Regions from separate parts of the Mus musculus genome. Here all the other regions are reported to be linked to region 1. Evidence: microRNA targets listed by miRTarBase, many of them from high-throughput screens and not tested one by one. Region 1 holds a microRNA gene; each other region holds the end of a gene's coding sequence.
Evidence for each region. Region 1 holds the annotated microRNA mmu-miR-141-3p (UAACACUGUCUGGUAAAGAUGG, at 1,690-1,711, opposite strand). A microRNA usually pairs through its seed, bases 2 to 8, with sites in the 3' UTR of a target mRNA and lowers its output. Matches are read on the target gene's strand: a 7mer-m8 pairs with bases 2 to 8, a 7mer-A1 pairs with bases 2 to 7 and ends in A, and an 8mer does both.

Region 2: the mRNA of Tlcd4 is a reported target of mmu-miR-141-3p. Seed matches in the 3' UTR shown: 7mer-m8 at 390-396 and 7mer-m8 at 551-557.
Region 3: the mRNA of Smurf2 is a reported target of mmu-miR-141-3p. Seed matches in the 3' UTR shown: 7mer-A1 at 1,857-1,863.
Region 4: the mRNA of Abhd18 is a reported target of mmu-miR-141-3p. Seed matches in the 3' UTR shown: 8mer at 391-398 and 8mer at 768-775.

What each region holds. Positions count from the first base shown.
Region 1 is chr6:124,716,228-124,719,349 of GRCm38, forward strand. Mir141 (microRNA 141) reads right to left here and starts at 1,758; the gene lies at 1,687-1,758. It overlaps Phb2 (prohibitin 2), which reads left to right. Exons shown (of 10, transcript NM_007531.2): 9 at 198-203; 10 at 379-718. The coding sequence ends at 406. Mir200c (microRNA 200c) reads right to left here and starts at 2,163; the gene lies at 2,095-2,163.
Region 2 is chr3:121,204,305-121,207,426 of GRCm38, reverse strand. It overlaps Tlcd4 (TLC domain containing 4), which reads left to right. Exons shown (of 8, transcript NM_001355678.2): 8 at 1-3,122. The coding sequence ends at 275. Among named protein-coding and RNA genes, the nearest start is that of Rwdd3, 34 kb to the right of the region's middle.
Region 3 is chr11:106,820,239-106,823,360 of GRCm38, forward strand. It overlaps Smurf2 (SMAD specific E3 ubiquitin protein ligase 2), which reads right to left. Exons shown (of 19, transcript NM_025481.3): 18 at 2,782-2,857; 19 at 1-2,526. The coding sequence ends at 2,427. Among named protein-coding and RNA genes, the nearest start is that of Cep95, 33 kb to the left of the region's middle.
Region 4 is chr3:40,935,122-40,938,243 of GRCm38, forward strand. It overlaps Abhd18 (abhydrolase domain containing 18), which reads left to right. Exons shown (of 13, transcript NM_026622.4): 13 at 221-3,017. The coding sequence ends at 272. Among named protein-coding and RNA genes, the nearest start is that of Larp1b, 14 kb to the right of the region's middle.

The DNA of each region.
Region 1 (3,122 bases):
TTTATAAATATCTAAATGAGAAGTGACGACTGGTAGCAATTTCACGTGAGACCCACGTTGCTGGGACCGCACAGATAGTGGCAAAGAGCCGTCCTCACTGGGGAGTGCGGGTCTGGAGCAGCTGAGCCTGTAGCTGACTAACGATTTATTTCTCTTTTCACATATTTCCTGCTCACTTCATGGCATGCTGGTTGCAGGGGAAGGTAAGTGGCTGCCTCCTTGCTATGGGGTCCTGGGGGCCATCTGCTTCCTGGACCTGCCCCTACACCCCCTTTCTCCCCATTGTCAGGCCTTTATTTAGGAAGAAGCTGTGGTTTGGGGTGTTGTGCACCTCACACTTACATCCCCGATAATAGGAATGTTCCCTTTGTTCTCCAGTGACAGCCTCATTAAGGGTAAGAAATGAGTGTGGACATCAAGAACCCCACCACCAGAGAAGTTGGCACACTTGTCCAGCTTGGAGGAGCCAGCTCGGGGGTCAAGCACAGCCCACCCTGCCCCAGGCATCATGTGATGGACTTTTCTGTATCTGCCCTCTTGGATTAAGGAAGACTGAGACCAGCCCTTTCAGAGGCTTTCCTCCTTCCTGTGTTGGCTGGGAAGCGGGGTGGGACAATGTGATTTCTCCGTGATTTCCTACAGCCTTGAGCCTCTCCCAGAGTGGGGGAGATAACCACCATGCCAGGAATTCTCAATAAAATTTTTATTACTTAAAGCCAAAAATTTTGTGTCTGAGTGTGTACGTAGATTGCGCGAAGACATTGATCACACTGGGACTCGGCCAGCAGAGGGCACAAGCAGTCTGGCCTGTAGCATTCGGACTGCCGCCGGGTCCTCAACAGGACCTAAGCTGGGAGCAGCCGATCTCAGGCCCAACTACACCTTCACCCCACCCGCAGGTCTACCAAATGAACCCACAGACTTAATGACATCTTTTTAAAAGCTGAAGCAGCTGAGGCTTTGCTGAGCCAAACTAAAAACGTGATGACCCCAGGGGGAGCTGCTTCCTTGGTAACCAGCTCCTGGTTAGCTCCGGGAGATGGCGTGTTCCTCCCAAGGGTTTCCGTGTTCCTAAGTCCCGGTGTGCTGTTACTTAGTCACCAGGTACGATGAGCTATTTGCACTGAAGTTTCTCCCTGTGGAGGAGGCCTTCCCACCCCCACAGCCCGGGAGCCCAACTGAACCTATTTTCCACAGACTACCTTTCTTACGAAGACCGAGTCTCCAGTACTGGGGAAATCAAGCCATTGCTCACGGACTTCGCTAGAACCGTTGCCTTGGTTTTTTCCTTCTGGGCAGACAAGAATACAATAGAGGAAGGGTGAGCCTGACTGGGCGAGAGGGTGCAGCAGAGCTTCAGCTCCTTGGGTTCTTAGAGGAAGTAGGTCTCTCCTGAAGCCTAAGACAGACCACCGAATGGACCGGAATCGTATCCCACGTTCCCCATGGACATTCAGGTTCCCAGGGTGAAAAGACAACGGAAGCCAGCGTCTTGGGACCAAATGTGTTTCCAAATCTTGCTGCTGTTCTGAAGGCAGCCATTTTGTCTCTTTCCCATTGTTCCCCTTTGCCAAGTGATACACACACACACACACCCATCCAGAAGGTTAAAGGTCAGAGGCTGTTGGCCTGGAGGCCTAGGTGGTCTTCAAGGCTCCAAGGTCACTGCTGAAGGAACTGACCCGGGGGCCATCTTTACCAGACAGTGTTAGGAGCTTCATACTTCAACCATCCAACACTGCACTGGAAGATGGACCCAGAGCCAGCCAATATAAATTGATCTACCGCTGATCAAGCGCTAGAGGGAAGCCGCTGCTGGCTGGCTGACTGTGGCCTCTTGTGTGCGCGTAGACAATCCCAAGGCCAAGGTCTGCTTCTAGTAGGTTCTGGATCTACCAGATGACAAATCACACTGGATTGGAGGAGGGGCTGGGGCCATTGTGTTCTTCCAGTGGGCAACCAGCCAACCCGAGAGCCACCCTTAACTCGGAAGAAGGGGCTTCCAGGTTATGTGTGGGAGGAATGGGTTGCTGCCAGATAAAAGTGCCTAAAGCGATGGACGCGCAATGGACGCCGATGACACTGGGACAGGGGCCTCCATCATTACCCGGCAGTATTAGAGACTCCCAACCAGCACCCAAACACTGCTGGGTAAGACGAGGGCCCCTACCCAACCAGTCCACCTTCAAGATCAGCCCTGGCTAAGCCCAAGCCCCTCAAGAGAAGCGGCAGATCTCCTGCTCCCATCCCCCACCTCCGCGTCATTTGGGACACTTCCGGGAGAGCCTGGCTGCTCCCCACCAGGCCTACCCTGACTTGCCCATCACTGAGGCCAAAACCAGCTTTCTGTAGCCTCTACTATCCACCTGCGAGCCAGTCCCCCCCCCCCCATTCCACGGCCTGTCCCTGCCCTCCAACACACCCATTTACTGCGTTCTACCGTCGCTAGCGCAGCCCCAGGACCCCCCTGATCGGTGGCCTTTACCTGGCACCAGACCCGCCTGACCCCTAGAGTGGTGCAGAAGAAAGAAAGGTGTACCAACGGCCCGGATTCAGCCGCCTAGAGCCGACTTGGCCTCCACTCTCGCTCTTCCTCCTTCACCTGCCGGGCAGCACAGGCGCCTCACCTGGGCCCCGCCCGCCTCTGCCCTGCGCACAGGTGTGTCCTCCTGCCATAGGCTGCCCCCCTCTCCGCCTTAACCCCTTCCCTCCCAGCACCAGCCCTGGGCACCTCCTCTTGAGGCCTGGCCACCCCGCCAGGCCTCCCGCCCTTTCTGGCCGCCTTTCTTCTTCTACCTTGTACTTTCCCTGTTTCTAAAGGAATAAAGAAAGAGGCCATCTTTGGATCCCCTTCCAGCGGCTCCTTCCTCCCAAGCTAAAACACCCTCTTCTCTGAGGCCTCTCCAACCCTGCTCTCAGCCAGAGTCAGAGGACCAGCCCTGAGGTCAGTGTGGGGTCAGCTAGGCAGGCATTGGTCTGTGTCCCTGTCCAGGGCTCAGACAGGGCCGGGCAACAACCCCTTGAGAACTGGGAAGGGAGGAAGCCCCAACAGACCTGTGGATCGCCAAGCATTGCGCCGGATCTTTGGTTTTACCCTGAGATGGCAGTGTCTGCCTGGGCCC
Region 2 (3,122 bases), not on the chromosome of region 1:
ATGTCATCAATGGAATTCTTATGACGGTGGTCTTTTTCATCGTGCGGATCATTTCGATACCTCCGATGTATTTCTTCCTTTACTCCGTGTACGGAACAGAACCCTACATAAGGTTCGGATTTGTAATCCAGTCTGTCTGGATCGTTACTTGTGTTATTTTAGACGTGATGAATATCATGTGGATGATCAAAATCACGAAAGGATGCATCAAAGTCATCTCCCTCATCAGACAAGAGAAAGCCAAGGATAGCCTTCAGAACGGGAAACTCGACTAAAGGCATGCTTCATCGGACACCTTGCTTCCATAAGCCATCTTCATTCCTCTTTGTCCCGGCCGACACGATGAGCTCCTGCGCCGCTCTGTTAGGCACGGTTGTTACTCATGGTTTCAGTGTTCTTTCCTCTTTTCTTTAATCTTTAGACAAGAGAAAATAAAATTTAGTCTTCATCCCAGGATTTCTTCTTTCCTTCAATATTTTTAAGCATGGATGGAAACTGAAAGGTTTAAACAAAAGTTGTAAGTGGAGTGGGGAAACTTTTCTGAATTCGTCAGTGTTCATGGGGATTATTCTCTGCAGGAAAATGGCTGGTGATTCGGTGGCCTTTGTACACCACCCATTTTATTTTGCTGAAGGACTGAGAACGGCTTTTCAGTCTGCGAGCAGCTCCGTTGGCTGTGCTCCGGTCTTTTCCAACATCAGAGCCTGTGTAGGGTTTCCTTTCTAAGTTGCCAGCACGTCCCTTCCCCAGGCCATCAGAACTGACATGGTTTCATGGGGGTATGCAGTCATCTGTTACGCTACGATAGAGCACTTCTCATGTTGATCCTATCATATTTGAAAATATTTTATGCATTTTTAAGATTTCAGCTGCTTCGTTTCTCTCTGTAGTGCTTTATCCAATTATATTTTGAAAATCTTATAGTCAGGCAAGGTTTAAGACCCATCTTGTGGACCACATGAATGCCGATAGTGAGGACTCCCGGGAACGTGCCTCATCACGCTGCCTTCGCCTGCTTCCGGGTACTTTCCCCATAAAGATCATATTTCTTCTTGCAAAGTTTTCCAAGTTCCAAACCTGACACCAGAACACCAGTCTTGTCTAGAATGTGCGCGCTGGGCATGCTCCTGAAATCGGCCTCATTTTGGTGAGACTAAAACTACAGACAAGTCAGAGTTTGTGCTTTACTTAGAGATTTTACTCAGGCTTGCTTAGTTTGTCTTTGCCTTTTTGTTTTCTTAAAGAGCAGAAGGAAGGAAGGTGACTTACCCCAAGTATTCTGATTATCAAAACTGTCATTCATTGTGAAAAAAAAATCGTGTGTGTGTGCGCGTGTAGTGGGGTGTTTTTCCTTTGATTCTTGCAATCCAAATATAGAATTATATATTTAGCTATTATTGCCTTTATTTATTTTTTTCTGAAGTACTTGACTTTAATGATTGTTCTTAAGATATAGACTTAATCCAATTAGTGGTGAATACTTGAATTTAACTGAACTTAAACCAAAAGATCTAATCCATTTAGAGTATCAGACTGAAGGAGAACGTTTGGCTCTTTCATTATTCATCTTAGGCTGATGAACTAATGGAATGTCATCAAAACATTTAATGTAATGTAGTTTGATTTAATTGTCTAGTACAGATAGAGTCTGGCAAGTTCTGGTATGTTTAAAGATGGGAATTGAAATTCCAGTCCAATGATAAAAATCAAGTCGATTGTCTTGTTCTTGGTGTATTTACTTTTGAAAGATAAAGTCATGAAAAAGATAGGGCTTTGTCTTTAAAGCAGCTAATGCCACATTTGTAATGGCTTGCTAAGTTTAGTGCTGTCTCCATCATAGGCAACTCAGGTGTGCACTGGTTGTGTAAAAGTGAAGGTATAGGGATGCAAATGATTTTATATTGTTCATGGCTCTTTTACAAGAAAATGGGCTTTTTTTTTTTAATGGAGAGAAGACATTTATATTATAAAACTATTTTGGAAATCCACTAAGAAAAGAATAAATCTTGAGGTAAATATGTTTGTCTCTTTGGCTAGTACTACAGTTCTGAACGCAGATTTTAAACTCGCCATTAAAATGATGGCAGTGTATGGTTATGAGTCTCTGTGAAGGCGATAATTGCTTCATGCTGAAAGGGTCATTTGTATTTCGTTGCTTTTATCATTACTCGATATAACCAATAAGTATGTTCGGAATATCAAACATTAAACCCAGATTTGCCATTGTAGCCCTTATTATCTGCAGCTTCCAGACTTCCACTCTCCTCATCCTTTATAGAAGGGAACTGTGTTGGAAATGTCCTGCAAACTGCCACTGCAAGCCAGCCCTCCCCTGGGGCTGTATTTTGCTGTTTTGTGATCACATTTATCAACCTAAAATACAAATAAAGACAGAACATAGTATTTACTAAAACAATGAAATTTTCATTTATTGAATGACAAATTTTTGCTAGATATTTTAGATATAAGTATTTTGGCTACATTGATTAATTTAAGTGAGTCTATTAGGCATTCTGATATTTAACAAGTCTTAAAATATTTATAGAAAATAAAAGCAAATTGGTATAAATTTTTAAGCAATTCTATTTTTCTAGAGAAGATTAGTGACAATCTGAATATGTAGTATTCTAGAAAATAAACTTTAAAAAAAAAAAGCAAAACTCAACTAGTAGCATGCAAGACTGTGGGCCCTGCACTTGATGGTATGTTATGTGCTAGACTTGAGGTATTTGGAGCTTGGGTTCATAGAATTTGCATTCTTGTGTCTAAAATCATTTGGAGGATTCTTTGCATTTTTTTTTAAATTCAAAATGGAGTTACATATGCATGCAAAGAAATTAACTCAAGGTACCCTGGTGTGTTGGCTTTTCAAACTTGAAATGGGTATTTTCTATTTTGTTTTGTTTGTTTCCTGTTGTTTCGTGGACCAGTTATGTGTCCAGAGGAATTTTGGTAGGTTTTACCATCTCTGAGAGTCACCCTGCTTTATTTTGGATAAACTGGGTGCATAGGTTTGGAAAGTTGCCTAATTTATAGGTATTTGGATGAAATTCTTCCATAAATTTTAATAATTTGCTTAAGTCCAAGTTTCTGTTCAAGTGTCAGATGTGTAAATTGCTTCC
Region 3 (3,122 bases), not on the chromosome of region 1:
ATTCTGTAATAAATACAATGGAAATGATAAAACTTTGCTTTTAAAGTCAGTTTAGAGAAAAGGAGAATATTACATAAAGTGAACTAATTACATCTAGAATCAGCAACTCAGCATTTGGTACAATCATCATCCTAGTGTGAGAACATTAACCACCACACGTGGCCCCGACCGTAAGCTGCAGCTGAAGGGCGAGGCTGTGCTGCTGACCCTGCAGGCACTGGAAGCGGCTAACACCCACCAGTGCCATCTGTCCGATGCACTGCAAGCTCAGGGCAGATTTAGTGTTGTCTAGGAAAGCAAATTATAGTGGATTTAGGAGAAGAGAAATTTGTGCTCTGGCCTGTAAATGTGAGTGGGGTGGGGAGAGCACTGTAAAATACAGAGCAACAAACTGCAAAACAAATGTACAGGATACACAGCACTGCTTTAAAACTTTGTGCCAGAAAATAGTGGCCTCTTACTGCATGTGAGCACAGGGAACCATTGGTCAGAATGAAGCTTTCCTGATGGAACAGAGCGCCTGGAGGCAGGCGACGTGGGGACAGATAAATATTCACATTAAACACAAGGCAAGTCCAGGTTCTGTGACACTGGGGATTTTTGTTTGCTTAGCACCTATTTGGAAGTAATCAGGTAATGTAATTTTGAAATCGAAATCTAAACCATGTTTTTGATGTCTGTGCTATTGAAGACCGTTACATAGGGCAGTTTCCTCTAAAGCTCTGTCAAGTCACTGTAATAAAGTTAAAAGGCACTCAGAAAGCAGTGGGATTTGCCTGTGTTACACTGCATGGAAAACCACTGAAAGCAGCGTCTCCTTAGCACTGCATCCCTGTCCTCTGAGACAGGGTCTCAAGGAAGCCTCAATCCACTGTGTAGGTGAGACTGGCCTTGGCATGCTGACGCTTCTGCCTCTGCCTCCCCAGTGACAGGATCACGGGTGTCGGCCACCAGGCTGAGTTACACTTCCTGTCAAGTGCTCCTCATGGCCCTGTGCCAAGCTCAGCAAAATCTGCTATTCTTCTTTCACATCCATGTTTAAAAATAATAGTGCATTGTTCTGATGGTTGAATTTTAAAATCCAATGTGATTTTTTTTTAAATGGTTGCAACCCCTCACCCCAGAATTTTTGTTACCTTCTAGATCACAGGATGGGCCACACACCTTGAAAGCGTAACCTCCACACTTGAAGTCAGCAGTGTGGCAGCCTGGCCTCCAGTCCCTCACTTCATGAACTCTTTAGTTCTAGAGTAAATTATACGACTGCCTTAGAGTCACTCTTATGTGAGGCAAGGTCTGCTGTGTCGCTCAGGCTGGCCTCAAACTTGAACTGGCCCTTCTGCCTTAGCTTCCCAGGAGCCAGGATCACGGGCATGGTCAGCCCAGCTGACGTCATGCATGTATGACATTCTTGGCCCACCATGCCCACTACCACCTCCAGCTCAACCAATGAGGTAAAAGCAGGGCTCTCAAACTTGTTAAACGATTTTTAGAGCAAAAATTTTCCTTTTAGAAACTTAATTAAAATATAAGTTAGATGTACTTATTAGAGACTTTGGTTTATAGAAATAGCATATAAAAGACAAGCTGACCCAGCAAAGAATGAAAATCCACCCCATCACATACTGAGAAGCTATAAAAATGCAGTATTTCAATTTAAGATGAAAGTAAATCCAAAATACCTGATCTTCTTGATTCAAGAACATGAGGTCTTTTTTTTTTTTTTAAGTCATCTTAAAAACAGGAAGGGTAGCAAATAAACTGTTTAAATGGCTGCATTAAGAATTTCCAAGAAAGTCACACTTGAAAAATATAAAACCCCACTTAAGCTACGGTGACCCACATAATGCAAAATATAACACTCTGCTATAGAAAAACACAACTAAACATGTAAATGGCTTAATTTCATCAAGGTAATGATCCCTCTTTAGCCAATTGTTTACAAAGGTGGAACAATCCAAAATAACTTTATTTAATTTCTTACAAAGAGCAGGTATAGGAGTTGTTCAAAAATCATGTACTCAATCAAAATGAAGTGTGACTTGTACCGACTGCTGGAGTTGTCTTGCTATGCGGGAGAGACATGAGTCTGACAAGCAATTTGGGGAGATAACCTTGTATAAAAATAGTAGTAGTCTTTTAAGTGTAGAATACTGCCTAACTCTGGAGACGCAGGGGGTCAGCATTCTTTAGGTTCAAGGTATTAATTTTTAAATAGCAGCTGAGTGTGTCCTCATGGCAAAGCATAAAGACCTTTACTTTTCCTTGAAAAGGAATTTCAAAATTGTCCTTTCCCCTCCCAGTGTCCTAGAATCTAAGGAACAGGGGAGGAGGCTGTCCTGTATCCCAGCGTTCTCTGAAGCGCTGCTGAAGGAGGCTGTTGGCCAGGGAATAAATAAGAGCTGTAGGTAAGTCCTTGGTGCCCATCATTCCACAGCAAAGCCACATGTCTCCTCGATGGCCGTTAGCAGCTTTTCATAGAGCTTCTCATAGCTTTCATAGGGTGGAATGTCTATTCGATTGAAGCTGTAAATAAGCAAATCAGCCTTGATCATTCGCTCAGAACAAGTCAGCAGGTACAGCAGGCGAGCATTACATAGGCTTCGTGTCATACAGGAAGGTAGAAGGGCAGCCCTCTAAAGCAGAGGCCACGACTTTGGGGTTTGCTTACTGATTTCTGAATAACTTCACTTTTAAAATCACTTAAAAGAAGTGCTCATCATTTCTTTTAAACAAAAACTTACCGAGAATGACAGAGGAAAAGCTACAAAAATAACTCACCAAGTGTGGGCTTTTGGCAAGTTGTTCGTGCAGGCATCAATCTGGTGTATGGTAAAGAGCCGTGGGCCTGCAGCACCTGCCAGTGAAGGAATGTGGGTCAGATCACAGCAGGCACACGAACCCATCTCCAAAGCCTCAGAATAGATGAGAACATAAGCCACAGGAGCTGGGGAGCACCTTGTATCCACACACACCAACTTGGGGGCGCATAGGAAAAGGAGCCTGGCTTTGAGGTTGTAAGTGACATGTGTTTAAGGCCAGGTGCCATAGCATCAGCAGTGCTGTCTGAGCAAAAGGCTTAACCGATGTCCCTCTGCCAACAAAACACGTGCCACAGAATA
Region 4 (3,122 bases), not on the chromosome of region 1:
AGTGGACTAGAACATAAAACAAAGATACATACTATTTTATATTGTACACTGAGCTGTTTCTTCATGTACTGTCCTATTTTGTCCTCTAGAGAATGAAGGATGTAGGATATCAGAAGCACATTTTATCAGATAGTTGGAATCAGAGATAATTTTAGAAATATAATAGTTGTCTGCCCTTTCCCATATTTGTTAATGACTAATTCTTTACATTTCATTTTAGACAAGCCATCTACGATGCCTTTGAACGTTTCCTTCATAAATATGCTAACTAATTGGATTGATGTATTGTATAACATCCTATTTCCTACAAAAAGAGTTTACCCAATGATGATGTGAAAAACAAGCAAACAGCACTACATACTTGATTGTTGCCAAATTAGTCTGTGTTGCCAGTGTTACGGGTCAGTTACAAACTGTGGATACATTTCAGTAATGAAAAAACTACTTGAAAAATACAATCCTGAAGTATTTGTAACTCTTTAAAAAATCTCATATACCTTATACAACATCTGTTGTTACTATTTATGAAAACATTTTAATTGTGAATAATTTATTGATTCAGAATAAATAGAAACTATTGGTTTTTTAATAGAATTGTTGAAACTAAAATTGTAACATCACATGTACTGTATATTGTTCTATGGCAGTTTTGCTATTAACTTGATTTTAAAAACTCGTGTCTATCCTTTTTGTGTGTGTAGTGGGTTTATAATTTGGTTTTCAACTTTAGGTGATTTATTGCCATAGAAATACCTAAGATATAAAATCAGTGTTAGCTTTGAATTATGAAAACATCCTGAGTGCTGAGCTGCACCCTCTGTGGTAGTGCACTTGTAGTCCCAGCACTTGGGAAGTGGAGACAGGAGTGTCAGGAGTCCAGCCATTCTGTTTTTCATAGCAAAATTTGAGGCCAGCCTGAGCTGTATGAGACCCTGTCTCAAACAATTGCCTGGCATGGTAGCTCATGACTTTAATCTTAGCGGGTAGGAGACAGAGCCAAGCAGATCTCTTGAAGTGCCAAGGCTGGGACCATGCTTGCCCAGCCTACCTAGACTCTGAGGCCAGTCCCCAGCACTGCCAAATGAAAAGAAAAGCTGGAGGTATTTGGGAAATGGGGGTTATACATGTTTTCTCTACTTAAGAGAGTTTTATGTCGAAAATGGAAATAATAAAAGAACATTGTACTAGATGGTGGGTTCTGTCAGACATTTCTTATACACCTGTTCTTCAGTTGCTTACAGACTGAGTTAACAACTTTGACCTTTTAATTTCAGAATTTAAAAGCTACATATTAAATTAAACCATTGTACAGAAAAACACGAGGTTTTACACACTGCTAGCTTTTTAAATGGAAATTATATGGATAGATATTTGGTGCTAATGTTAAACTGCTCTGAGCTAAAATGTTTAAAAGGCAAATGTGTTTACTTTGAAATCTGTATTGCCCTTAAATTTAAATTAGGTCTTGCAGGTCTAGTGAGGATATGTGGATTGTAACATACCTTCTGCAGCTTTTTAAAAAGATGCTATCGCACTCCAATGTCTTTGCCACTAAAATTTCTACCAGCTATTTAAACATCTTTACTGTGAAATCATTGATAGCAAAGAAGTAGCTTCTTGGACATTACTTTTTAAGGTTTATTAATTTTATGTATATAAGTACACTGTCACTGTCATCAGACATATCGGAAGAGGGCATCAGATCCTATTACAGATGGTTGTGATCTACCATGTGGGTGCTGGGAACTGAACTCAGGACCTCTGGAAGAGCAGTCAGTGCTCTTGACCACTGAGCTATCTCTCAGCCCCTTGGACACTATTTTCAAGTAACATTACAGTAGAGCTGTTAGAGCTACAGCAATTTTGTACTTTCAGGCTTGAATACAAATACAAGAAAACCTGGTCATGGTTGTGGTGGTGCATGCCTTTAATTCCAGCAAAGTCAGGTACTCTCTGAGTTGGAGGCCAGCCTCTGGGCTACACAGAGAAACCCTGTCTTGAAAACAAAACAAAACCACAAAACAAACAAAAAAGCAAAAGAACTGGGTGTAGGACCATGAGTGGTGGCACCCTCTTCCTCCTGCACTGGGAGGCAGAGTTCAGGGTCAGCCTTGTCTTCAGAGGAGTTCCAGGACAACCAGGGCTACACTGGGTATTACTGGAGGTACATCCCTGAAATTCCTGCACTTGGGAGGCAGAGCATCAGTCAACCACAAGGTTCAGGCCAGAATAGTCTACATAATATATTCCAGATCAACTAGGGCTACCTGTCACATATAAGTTTATTTTCATCTTTTAAGTGGCTGTTTCAAGACAGCATTCGCAAAACTACCTAAACTTATTAATTCAGAGAAGAAAATGCCTTTACTCACATTTCTTCAAATCCACTCTGCAAAATAGTAGCTTAAGTACTATAAAGTCTCAAACCCTTGGGACAAATGGCTGAAATGCTTATCTAACATATCAAATTGAATCTGGCCACAAGGTTCTCCCGCCATCCCTACTTGGTTTCCACACCCCGCCTCCTATATTGAACTCTCTGAACTTTGCTGCCCCCAACATACACACACACACACACATACACACACACACACACACACACACACACACACACACACAAGTTGTATATAGTCTTTGAGAAATTAATGTATTCTCAAAGAAGTCCTCTATGCCATTTTCCTGTCACTTTGTGGATTAGGTCTATGAAATACTACAGATTCATTCAGAGCAGAGTTGCAAGGAGCTCACCATGGGCCAGTTTGACCCAATTTTATTTGGTGTACATAAGAGTGGGCATTCTTATATGTAGCTACTACTCTATATTTACGACTCAGCCCTAAAGACCCTGAAGAAGTAGTTCTGTAGTTAGACTTCATAATTTACCAATGTTGTAAGTATATCATTTTATCAATGTATTTTAATGTGGTGCTTTCTCTATTAAAATATTAACAATATAACAATTTTTAAAATATTTGCCAAATTTTATATTTCCTAATAAAAATCTATTTTAGAAAGTATTTGCTTTGTGGTTTGTTTTTTTTGTTTTGTTTTGTTTTGTAAAGAGGTATCATTCCAACTACCAGAAGCATGTTTTATTTGATTCATGTGTCTGAATTTGAGCC